2 linked regions of the Tribolium castaneum genome follow. The protein of the gene in region 1 purifies or fractionates together with the protein of each later gene. This does not show direct contact. Links are inferred from orthologs where the notes say so. Each region holds a gene or a part of one and is shown on either strand. Other genes may lie near its edges. The genes, in order: Ctr1A and Usp32.

The links.
Region 2: the proteins of Ctr1A (region 1) and Usp32 purify together in Homo sapiens (co-immunoprecipitation; 3 studies listed by BioGRID and IntAct, with this or other methods). This does not show direct contact. The link is inferred for Tribolium castaneum from reciprocal best matches to the Homo sapiens genes SLC31A1 and USP32.

What each region holds. Positions count from the first base shown.
Region 1 is NC_087397.1:10,500,380-10,504,851, forward strand, and holds the start of Ctr1A (high affinity copper uptake protein 1), read left to right. Parts: upstream 1-1,358; 5' UTR 1,359-1,624; intron 1,625-1,691; exon of another isoform or gene 1,692-1,760; intron 1,761-3,008; exon of another isoform or gene 3,009-3,348; intron 3,349-3,410; exon of another isoform or gene 3,411-3,432; 5' UTR 3,433-3,434; coding exon 3,435-3,569; intron 3,570-3,619; coding exon 3,620-3,747; intron 3,748-3,796; coding exon 3,797-3,892; intron 3,893-4,176; coding exon 4,177-4,206; intron 4,207-4,404; coding exon 4,405-4,472. Other genes in the region: anaphase-promoting complex subunit 15, read left to right, coding at 729-851, 901-960, 1,009-1,167.
Region 2 is NC_087401.1:13,771,244-13,775,768, reverse strand, and holds the start of Usp32 (ubiquitin carboxyl-terminal hydrolase 32), read right to left. Parts: upstream 2,872-4,525; 5' UTR 2,735-2,871; coding exon 2,677-2,734; intron 2,543-2,676; coding exon 2,080-2,542; intron 1-2,079. Other genes in the region: PIP4K (phosphatidylinositol 5-phosphate 4-kinase type-2 alpha), read left to right, coding at 3,176-3,310, 3,358-3,455, 3,508-3,618. UniProt on the Homo sapiens protein: Deubiquitinase that can remove conjugated ubiquitin from target proteins, such as RAB7A and LAMTOR1.

The sequences.
Region 1 (4,472 bases):
ATCACTCAAAAAATAAATGTCATTCATTTCCACAACTTTCACTATGCCGTAATCAATGAAGTAAATTTGGGCCTGTTGGTCCTTCTGGTGAGTGGCAGGAAAGCCAGTAATCACACCTCGATAGAAACCACCATCAGTAAAAACAGCACAGTACAAGTCCATCACAAGTTTGTCTTTTGGTATTTGATATTTCTTCCGATTCATGTAATAATACTTGAAGATACACTTTTGAAACACTTCAAGTTCGCGGTATTTTACAACCATCCAAAACTTGGAAGGGTCGTAGATTTGCGTAACTCGGGCACGGAACGATTGTCCTTGCTTGAAAGCGCATTTTTCGAAACAAGTAACCAATTCATTCTTAATACTGTGATTTTCCATATTTTCCCCAGTTTTTTTAACCATCTCATTTGAAAAACAAATTTAACCTAGCTAACTCGACCACATTCTAGGGAAAGTGAAAACGTCATGTTGGCGATATTGATGTCGGTGAAGACAACACCAAAAATGAAAAAAGATCTTATGAAATTATTTAGACAAGTGCGCTATTGCTGGTAATTCCTTTATTTAACGGGAATTGGTTCAATTTCAATTTCACCGGTTCGATCAGTATGAATTTTATGACTGCTTATTTTCTTAGGAAAATTATGACCCTAAATTTGGTAGTGGTAGTGACAAAATAGTGACAGTTTGAAAAATTGTCTGTAATTTTTTCGCCCCCTTGCGATATGAGTATACCGTTATTTCCCAAACTAAAACCAAAATTGATCGATCCGTTGTGGTTTGACGTTGATCAGCCTTGCGACGATGAAGAGGAAGTGTCGCAATTAGAGGCACAACACCAAGCTTGGGTACCCCAAAGTTACTAATTTTCCACAAATTTTGATTTAATTCTTGTAGCTACAATCCATATCGCAACGTGACAGTGATTTAGCCCCCATTGGTAAAACGGTTTGCGAGGTAAGGGACGAGCGCGTTGTTTGGTCTTGTTTCTTATTTTAGCCACAGAATTTGGATGAGGACGATGATGAGGAGGACGAAGACGATAACGATGACGATGACGAGTCCGAGAGTCACGATGAGGAAGAAGAGGATGAAATCGAAATGGACATCTCGCAAGAAAGGAATTCGCCAGTCGACGTAATAAACCCCAATGCCACGGTGTAGTTTATTTAAAATATTTACCTAGCTCTTAGTGCTACAAAGCTGTACATAATTCTAAATAAAAAATATTTATTTCAAGAATTTTTTGTTTAACTTAACCTCATTTTTTTCGAAGGGTTGGTAGCGCTGTTGTCCCAGTTGATTCTGTCATTTGTCAAATTTTGAAGTTGCACAACAATTATTTAAACATTTAATTAAGTCTTCAAAATGCTTTAACGATACATTTTGCTCAAATCAGCATCCTTATTTTTGTTAAATAAGTGACCATTAGTTGCAATCCCTTTTATTACAATTTTCCGACATAACCTATTGTGTCTCCTTATTCTAAGTTCAAAGTGAAAGGTACAAGAATTGTTATTTGTTTAAAACTGGAGTAGTTGAGCTTTCACCGCCAATTTTCATTCACATTGGACAGTGGTTCGGCCTTAGCTGGAATTTTGCGAATAAGGACAAGTCTAAGGTTAGTACTACTTTTACTGAATTCCTATTTCGAATAGCGAATTACGTTTGTTGTTAATTACGTAAGTTCGTAGAACAAGACACCTGAGGCGTTGAAGGTTTAGAAAAATTTGCAAGGTATTGTTCTCAAAACAGAGGTATGTTCCTGTAACATATGTTTTCATTTTTGGTGTAATTAAATTAATAAAAAATAAATGTAAATCACTTTCTAATCAAAGTACAGTCATTGCGGAAGTATGAGATAACAAGCGAGTTTAAAGTGTGTTTCATTCCCGATAAAAACATTTTACAGCTTGTATTGTTGTTGAACAATTAGGACCATAATTTAATTGGCTAATTGATAAACAAATACGAATATTAGATTTTTATTGCTGGCCCAACTTCTAGCCACTCGATTTTCTTTAATTTTTTTGTGTCGGGCTTAGCAATTATCTAACAGCTGGGCCAACCATTCTTTATTTAGGCTAATTTAATAAAATTAAATTTAAATAATGTGTCAGTAATCACAACCCAATTAATTCGATTTTAATTTTGATGAGCTTTATTCTGTTAACACATTCGTAGCTCCTTGAAGCCTTGTCCTGTTTTTATCACATCACCGCCAATAATCGAATACAAATTCACATCAACTGATAACAACTGGAACTGTTGCCAAATACAAGTTACGTGACCAAGCAGTACTTATTTTGCACACGGTTCGAAGCTATAGAATCGTGTGCAAAATGTAAGACTATCACGATAAGTACCTTTCTATAAGCGTACTTAAAGTCGAATTTTGAAGAAAAGCTACTTGTATGGTGCCGTGTGCAAGGCGAAAATCAGCCGTGTGCAACAAGTTCTTCAATAAAATGAATAGACCGTGGTCTGAAGATACAAATTTGCGATCATAGCAACCAAACTTTTGGGATTTTACGTCCTTTACTTGTTTTCGGCTTATTTTGACCACAGGAAACCACAGAGGATTTTACGTGCTGATGCGGTCGATATCAGTAGTAAACAATTTACAAAAGTAGACCCTTGAAAGTGACTAAATAAAAACCAAAATTCAGTTGTAGGGGTTTAATTAATAGCAAAGGTGGTACTACTTCAACACAATAATAGGCCGGAAATTCCAATCTGTACTATTATCATGATGACGTTTGTGCCGCTAAAATTTCAGACTTTAAACATTCCAAATTCTTTGAATAGCAAAACAGTTGCGACTATTCTGAATTGGTAATTGGGTATCTCATGAATTCAGCGACCTCAGCAATTGACTGTACTTTATTTTACATGAAGTAAGCAAATGAAATGTTTTCAGGACGTTGCCATTTAAGAAAAATGCAATTTTTGTGTATTTTTATCGGTCACCTTTATTTCAAAATATATTTTCGTGAAAAAAAAAATTGCTGTTGATATTTCATCATCGGTATTGGAAACAAAGATAATAATGACAAACAAATTTTCATTGTTTTCACAGTAGACAGTAGATAAAAGTAGTGCCACCGATAAAATATCGTTTTTTCGGTTTTTGATCGTCGCATCCTTTTTGGGTACAATTTTCTGAGCGTAACATTGTTATTTCCGTTTGTGAGTGATAACTTCCCTCCACACAAATCTATCGGTGGACGATAATAATCGAGAATACTTTTTATTTGACTAACCGTAACCGTATTAATGAAAGTTAGACCAGTTCAGTTCCTTGTAGTAAGCGGACAACAACGATTTCTTTTACTTTAAACGTAGGTCAGTCATTTTATTTATTTTAGCAATTTGGTGGTTAAATAAAATGACACAAATTATCACAGTGTCCATGTAAAATATTTTCAGAAATGGAACACCACAACCACGACATGCACGAACCGCTGGACCACAACATGCATCAAGGGATGGGTCATATGGGCCACGATATGGGCGGCACAACCATGCCGAAACATGATATGATGAGCCATATGATGTCCATGGCCGTAGGCAAATTATTTTCTTAATGAATTTTTTCCAAAATGATTTTTTCTAGTTTCACACTGGCTATAATGAAACTGTGCTTTTTGACCAATGGAAATTCTCAACCATTGGTGGTTTGATCGGTTCTATGATTGGGATTTTCTTCATGGCAGCTCTTTACGAAGGCTTGAAATACTACAGGTGAAAGGCGATTTTTTGGAGTCGCTTATGCTTTTTTGGATCATTTTAGGGAATACCTGTTTTGGAAAACCTACAACGCGCTACAATACAGGGCCGTTACGCTTCCAGAAAAGGGGGTCGTGTCGGAAGACAACCAGATTGTCCAGTAAGTTTAAAAATTCAATCAATTGTCACAACAGATTTTTGGTGTAAAGATTTATTTCGCTTGAACTAAAATGATTCAATGCTAGATCAAAGTTTATTAAACAAATTGGCTACGTGAACATTATCAGCAGACATATTCATTTCAAATTCTTCAATCTAAGCGATAGTTTTTTTTGTTACGAAATTTTTATGTAACACTGGTTTTAATTGCATGAAAGCGTCTTAAAAATGTTTTTTATATTATTTACATTAATTAATTAAATCTGATTTTTTGACTAATTCTAGTATGGTGGGAGAAGTCATCCATAAACAACCGTAAGTCAAAAATTAGTATGGAAACGCACCTAACGTAGAACGCAGCACAATAACTTTGTTTTTGCTTTTTCTTTCACTCGTTTTATTTTTCCTACAAATAACCGACCCTTTATTAACTTTTAACATTTGGCAATTCCTTGACCGATTAATCTTATTTAGTGATTTAATCAAGTCCAATTAATTTTGTAATTCTTACAGACCAACGATGCTGAGCGGCATGCACTTCTACCAAACGCTCCTGCACATGATTCAAATGGTCCTATCGT
Region 2 (4,525 bases), on another chromosome or scaffold:
TTTTTTTGTTTCACATTTTTTGAATTTCTTTTGAAAGTTAATTATTTTCAACAAAAACTCATAATTTTTCCAATCAACTTCAACACAGAGCGAGTGATTTATTTTTATTGTTAGCATTGTTATTATTGTGATATGACAATAGACACTAGTGGAATTTTTTGTCTTCTGTTTTCTATGAAACCGTTACATCTTATCTATCCTAATAGATAAAATGTAGATAACAGATTAATACAACATAGAAAATTATACTTTTATTTTTTTCGAATTATTAAATTACAATTTTAAACATACAAAAATAATTTTTTATTTCCGTTTCACAATTTCTCAATTTTGCTGACAAAAAGGACTTACAAATATTTGCAATGTTCTCTTTCATTTTTTTATAAAACACTGTTATTCACAATAAAAAAGTTGTTTGAAATAAGGGTATAAAAAAATTTCTCTCATAACTTAAAAGTTTTGAGCTACGAATAATTTTTCTTATGACATAGAAATCATTTGGCAAACTAGCAAATACGATAATAAACGTTGGAAACAACCTATAATACGTAAATAATAGAAATTAAATTGCTTGGAAAAAAATTTATTTTTATGCTTAGCTGCTGAACGTCTTTTCTCATCACTCGAAAGTTGGTAGTAACTTTTAAAGCACCCTGTATGTATTTTTCCAATTGTTGTTAAAGACCTTGTAGCCATCAATTCAAGAATAAATTCTGTTTATTCCTGTAATAGATGTGAGAAAAAAATAAAGATTAATGTCACCAGTCACAAGGTTCTTCCATTAAATTATAATTTAATAATTTCTATACTAAACGACCAAAAATAAATTCCCACCTTCAGTAATTATCATGTATAGAGGTATATTTTATTATAATTGCACACTGATGATAAAAAAACATAAAATTTCGGTTATGTAATGCATTTATTTAAAAATTTTAAAAATTCTAAAATCAGCAATTTTAAACATAAATACTACAAAATGATTTTTCTATTCTTCTTATGTGTTTTTTTCCTCTCTATAATTTTGTTAAATAGAATTAGATATTTTTTTTTTATTATTATATTGTTTATTTTTATTTTTTGTTATTTCTCATTTATTGTCTGGGTCAAAACCTTGATCAGCTTTGCTGCCTTTTGGTCCAATTTGTAGTAGAAACCAAGTTGTAGAAAATTTTAATTTTATTATCGTATTTTTTTTCTTGATGTAATTAATTGTATTGTAACTGTTTTACTGCCACAAATAAATTATTATTATTATTTGAGAGATAAAAATTAACGAAAAATTTTATTTTGGCATTTCTACTCATGATTATTAATGTTATAAATACAGAAATATAAAAAGAAAATGAATTCACTTTCGGTCCAATTTCCAATCCTTAATAACTCATGTACATGATGTAGATTATAAAGTATGCCGGGAATGGATAAAAAATGAACCTTTTTACCTTTAATTACCCCACAAATACCAATTCCAAAGTTCAACAACACTAATTTTAGTGTAATAATGGAAAGACAAATATTTTTGTTCGATTAAACCTTCACACAAGTAATAAAATATTAGTTCCATGATTAGCTATTTACTTAAAAACAATCCCATCAAGTAGGTATAAATCGTTAAAACAATAAAGTAATATATTTCAAGTAGATTAAAAAGTGTCCACTTATCAAGTAGCTATTTTAAGCTCGTCGCGTTAAAAAAAATACAACGGAATAGATTCAATTTTACAAAAATAGGTAACTAAATAAACGACTCGTGGTGATAATAAACAAATGTCAATATTCTTTATCATTACCACATGTTTATTTCATTGGGAAAATTGTTTACGACACGGAAAAAACTATTCGTGGAAACCACACAATAAAAAACCTTTACATTATCTTAAGACCATCGAATTAATAAGAATTTAATTTATCTAATCAAAGGACTAAACTACCGTTCCCCCCCTGACACCAAATTAATTTTTTATCTAATCACCAATGATTTTTATTAATAATCTTTTGTCATTAAACTTGACTTTGTTACAAAAATAGTTATCACCAATGAATGGACGCGCCCTTGAATTGCCATCCCCGACTCACCACTTGGACAAGATCGTCGCCTCCTTGTTGTACTGTATCCAAGCACTGAAATGCTCATAGGTCACTCGATCCTGTCCCACGGGGAACAGCGAGAGCATCGTCCTCTCCCACAGGATGTTGGGCCTGTTGGGCTTATCGGGCGGCAGCGTGCCCTCGGTTTGCAAGGCGCTGTAGAACTCGCTCCTGGTGATATGCGTTCCCGAATCGTTGCAATACAGCGTGAACAGGAAGCGAATTTTCTCGTCCTGCTTGCCCTTGGTGAGCAGCACCAGGCCGCAGACGAGGTCCTTGAGGGCGATGCCGCGCGGCGTGCCGCCGCAGGCGAGGTACAGCCACTCGGCGATCGCCTGGGGCACCCCATCGCCCAGCACGTGCAGGATGAAGCTCTGCTTGCTCAGGAGCTGGTTGCCGCCGCTCAGCCGCTTGAACGCCTCGCATATCCGCTTGTATTCCTCCTCAGACACTGGAATTGGATAATTGGGGGGAATTTCGGGTTAGGCATTAATTAGCAATTAGTTAACAACAATAATATTTACGTAGTTATGTCACATGATGTAATGACAGGTGAGGGGTTTGGGTGCAGGGTTTGATACCTACTTCGCTTGACGGCATCCTCGTAGGGCAAGCACGACCGTTTCGAGTCCTTTGCTCCCATTTTCACAATTTCACGCAGTCTTCTAACATTTTACGAGGGTTTTCAACGCACGACACTCACAACGACTGACTGCTCGGCTGACATTTCCTGGGGATTTTCGGCCCGCGAGGTTGGTCTTCGCCACACTCACCAAGCCCTAATAACTTATTTAAAACGATTATTATTGGATTTTTTCAAGTTTTGGCGCTTTTTGGGCGTTTTTGCGATAACGGGGGCCGTTTTTGCGTGGTTTTTATGTGCGGTTTGGTGGTTTTGGTGACTTTGGCGAGCATCGCCGAGCTCAGCCGATAACTAATCAATGAAGGTGTGTGTCTAAACAATCAGATTTTGTCAAAAAACGGTCCTTGAGCGAATTTATTGAAATTCCTGTAAATTGGCCAGGTTTTCGGGATGGTTAGCACCTAAGGTTGAGACTGGACTGGCGGCCATTTTGCGAACCAGATGATGTCTTTGCCGAGCAGCATGGGGCCGTCGAAGCTCAAAAAGAAACACTTCAGGGTGAAGCACCAGAAAGTCAAGCTTTTTAGGGCGAACGAGCCGTTTCTGTCGGTCTTCATGTGGGGGATTAACCACACGGTGGGTATGTGCGAGGGTTTTGGGGCAAGTTTCAGGGTTTGTTGTAGATTAATGAACTGATGCATGTCACCATCCCTGTCATGCTTCTGCCAGACGATTTTCGGGCCTATTCCAAAATCAAAGTTGATAATCATCTGTTCAATAAGTATAGAATGGTAGAGAATTGGGGGAAAAATTGGTGATAATGGTTTTTTTAGAGAGAATATGTCCTCGCATTTTAAGGTTAAGGAATACTGTCCTTTGGTGTTTAGGAATATCAGGGAGAGGTTTGGAATTGATGATTTAGACTATAAGGAATCTCTGACTAGGTGAGTTGGCTGTAATTGCAAAAAAGTGCAATGAAAGTTGGCTGTGATAAGTGAATTATCGATAATTCTGATAAGTTTGATTTCGAGAAAAACCAACTAGATTTCATTATTGGGTGGTAATTGAGTTGTTCACTAGGTTCTTAGGTCATATTTATTTTTCCCAAGTGTTTGATAACTACAGGTACAATTAATTACAAAATAAATGCCATTGTACAGGAATGATGTTGAGATAAAGACAGTAATCTTAATTTAAATAGGCAACCAGTTATACAAGCTACAATTTCCCAAATCTTTTTTTTAACATTTCTCGAATTATCTTGGGATCAAAATATTTGTATGGAATCAAACAAATAAAATATTAATCTCGAGTGATTTTTTAAATTTTTGGGTGTTATTACAAGATCTGGCAATAAATGAGTGTCTGGTTTAAAAATGGGCCAATTTTTTGAGCAGTTTTAGTAATTTTTTTTCAAAAAAATTGTTTTAAGGCTTTAAAAATTTGCGGAAAAACTCATGTAAAAAGCAAAAATATTGTTATTTCTGACAGTATTTAATTCTTCTTCTCAAAAGAAAGCGTCTATTTTGAAGTGATTTTTTGGTTTAGTTTAAAAATAAACGTATATTAAGATGCTCGAAAAATGCAATAAATGAGTATCTGGTTCAAAAATGGGACAATTTTCCGAGCAGTTTTAGTATTTTTTTTCTAAAAAAATTGTTTTTACTTTAGAAACTTGCTGATATGCTTAAAAAAGAGGCAAAAATAAATACTTGTTTGACTTGATCTTATTATTTCAGGCTCGTTTTTTGTAAAATATTGTGCAATAATTGAGTTCCTGATTGAATAATTGAATAACGAATAGTTATATTGTCTTAATTTGGTGATTTTTCAGTCTGTTTTAACAAATAC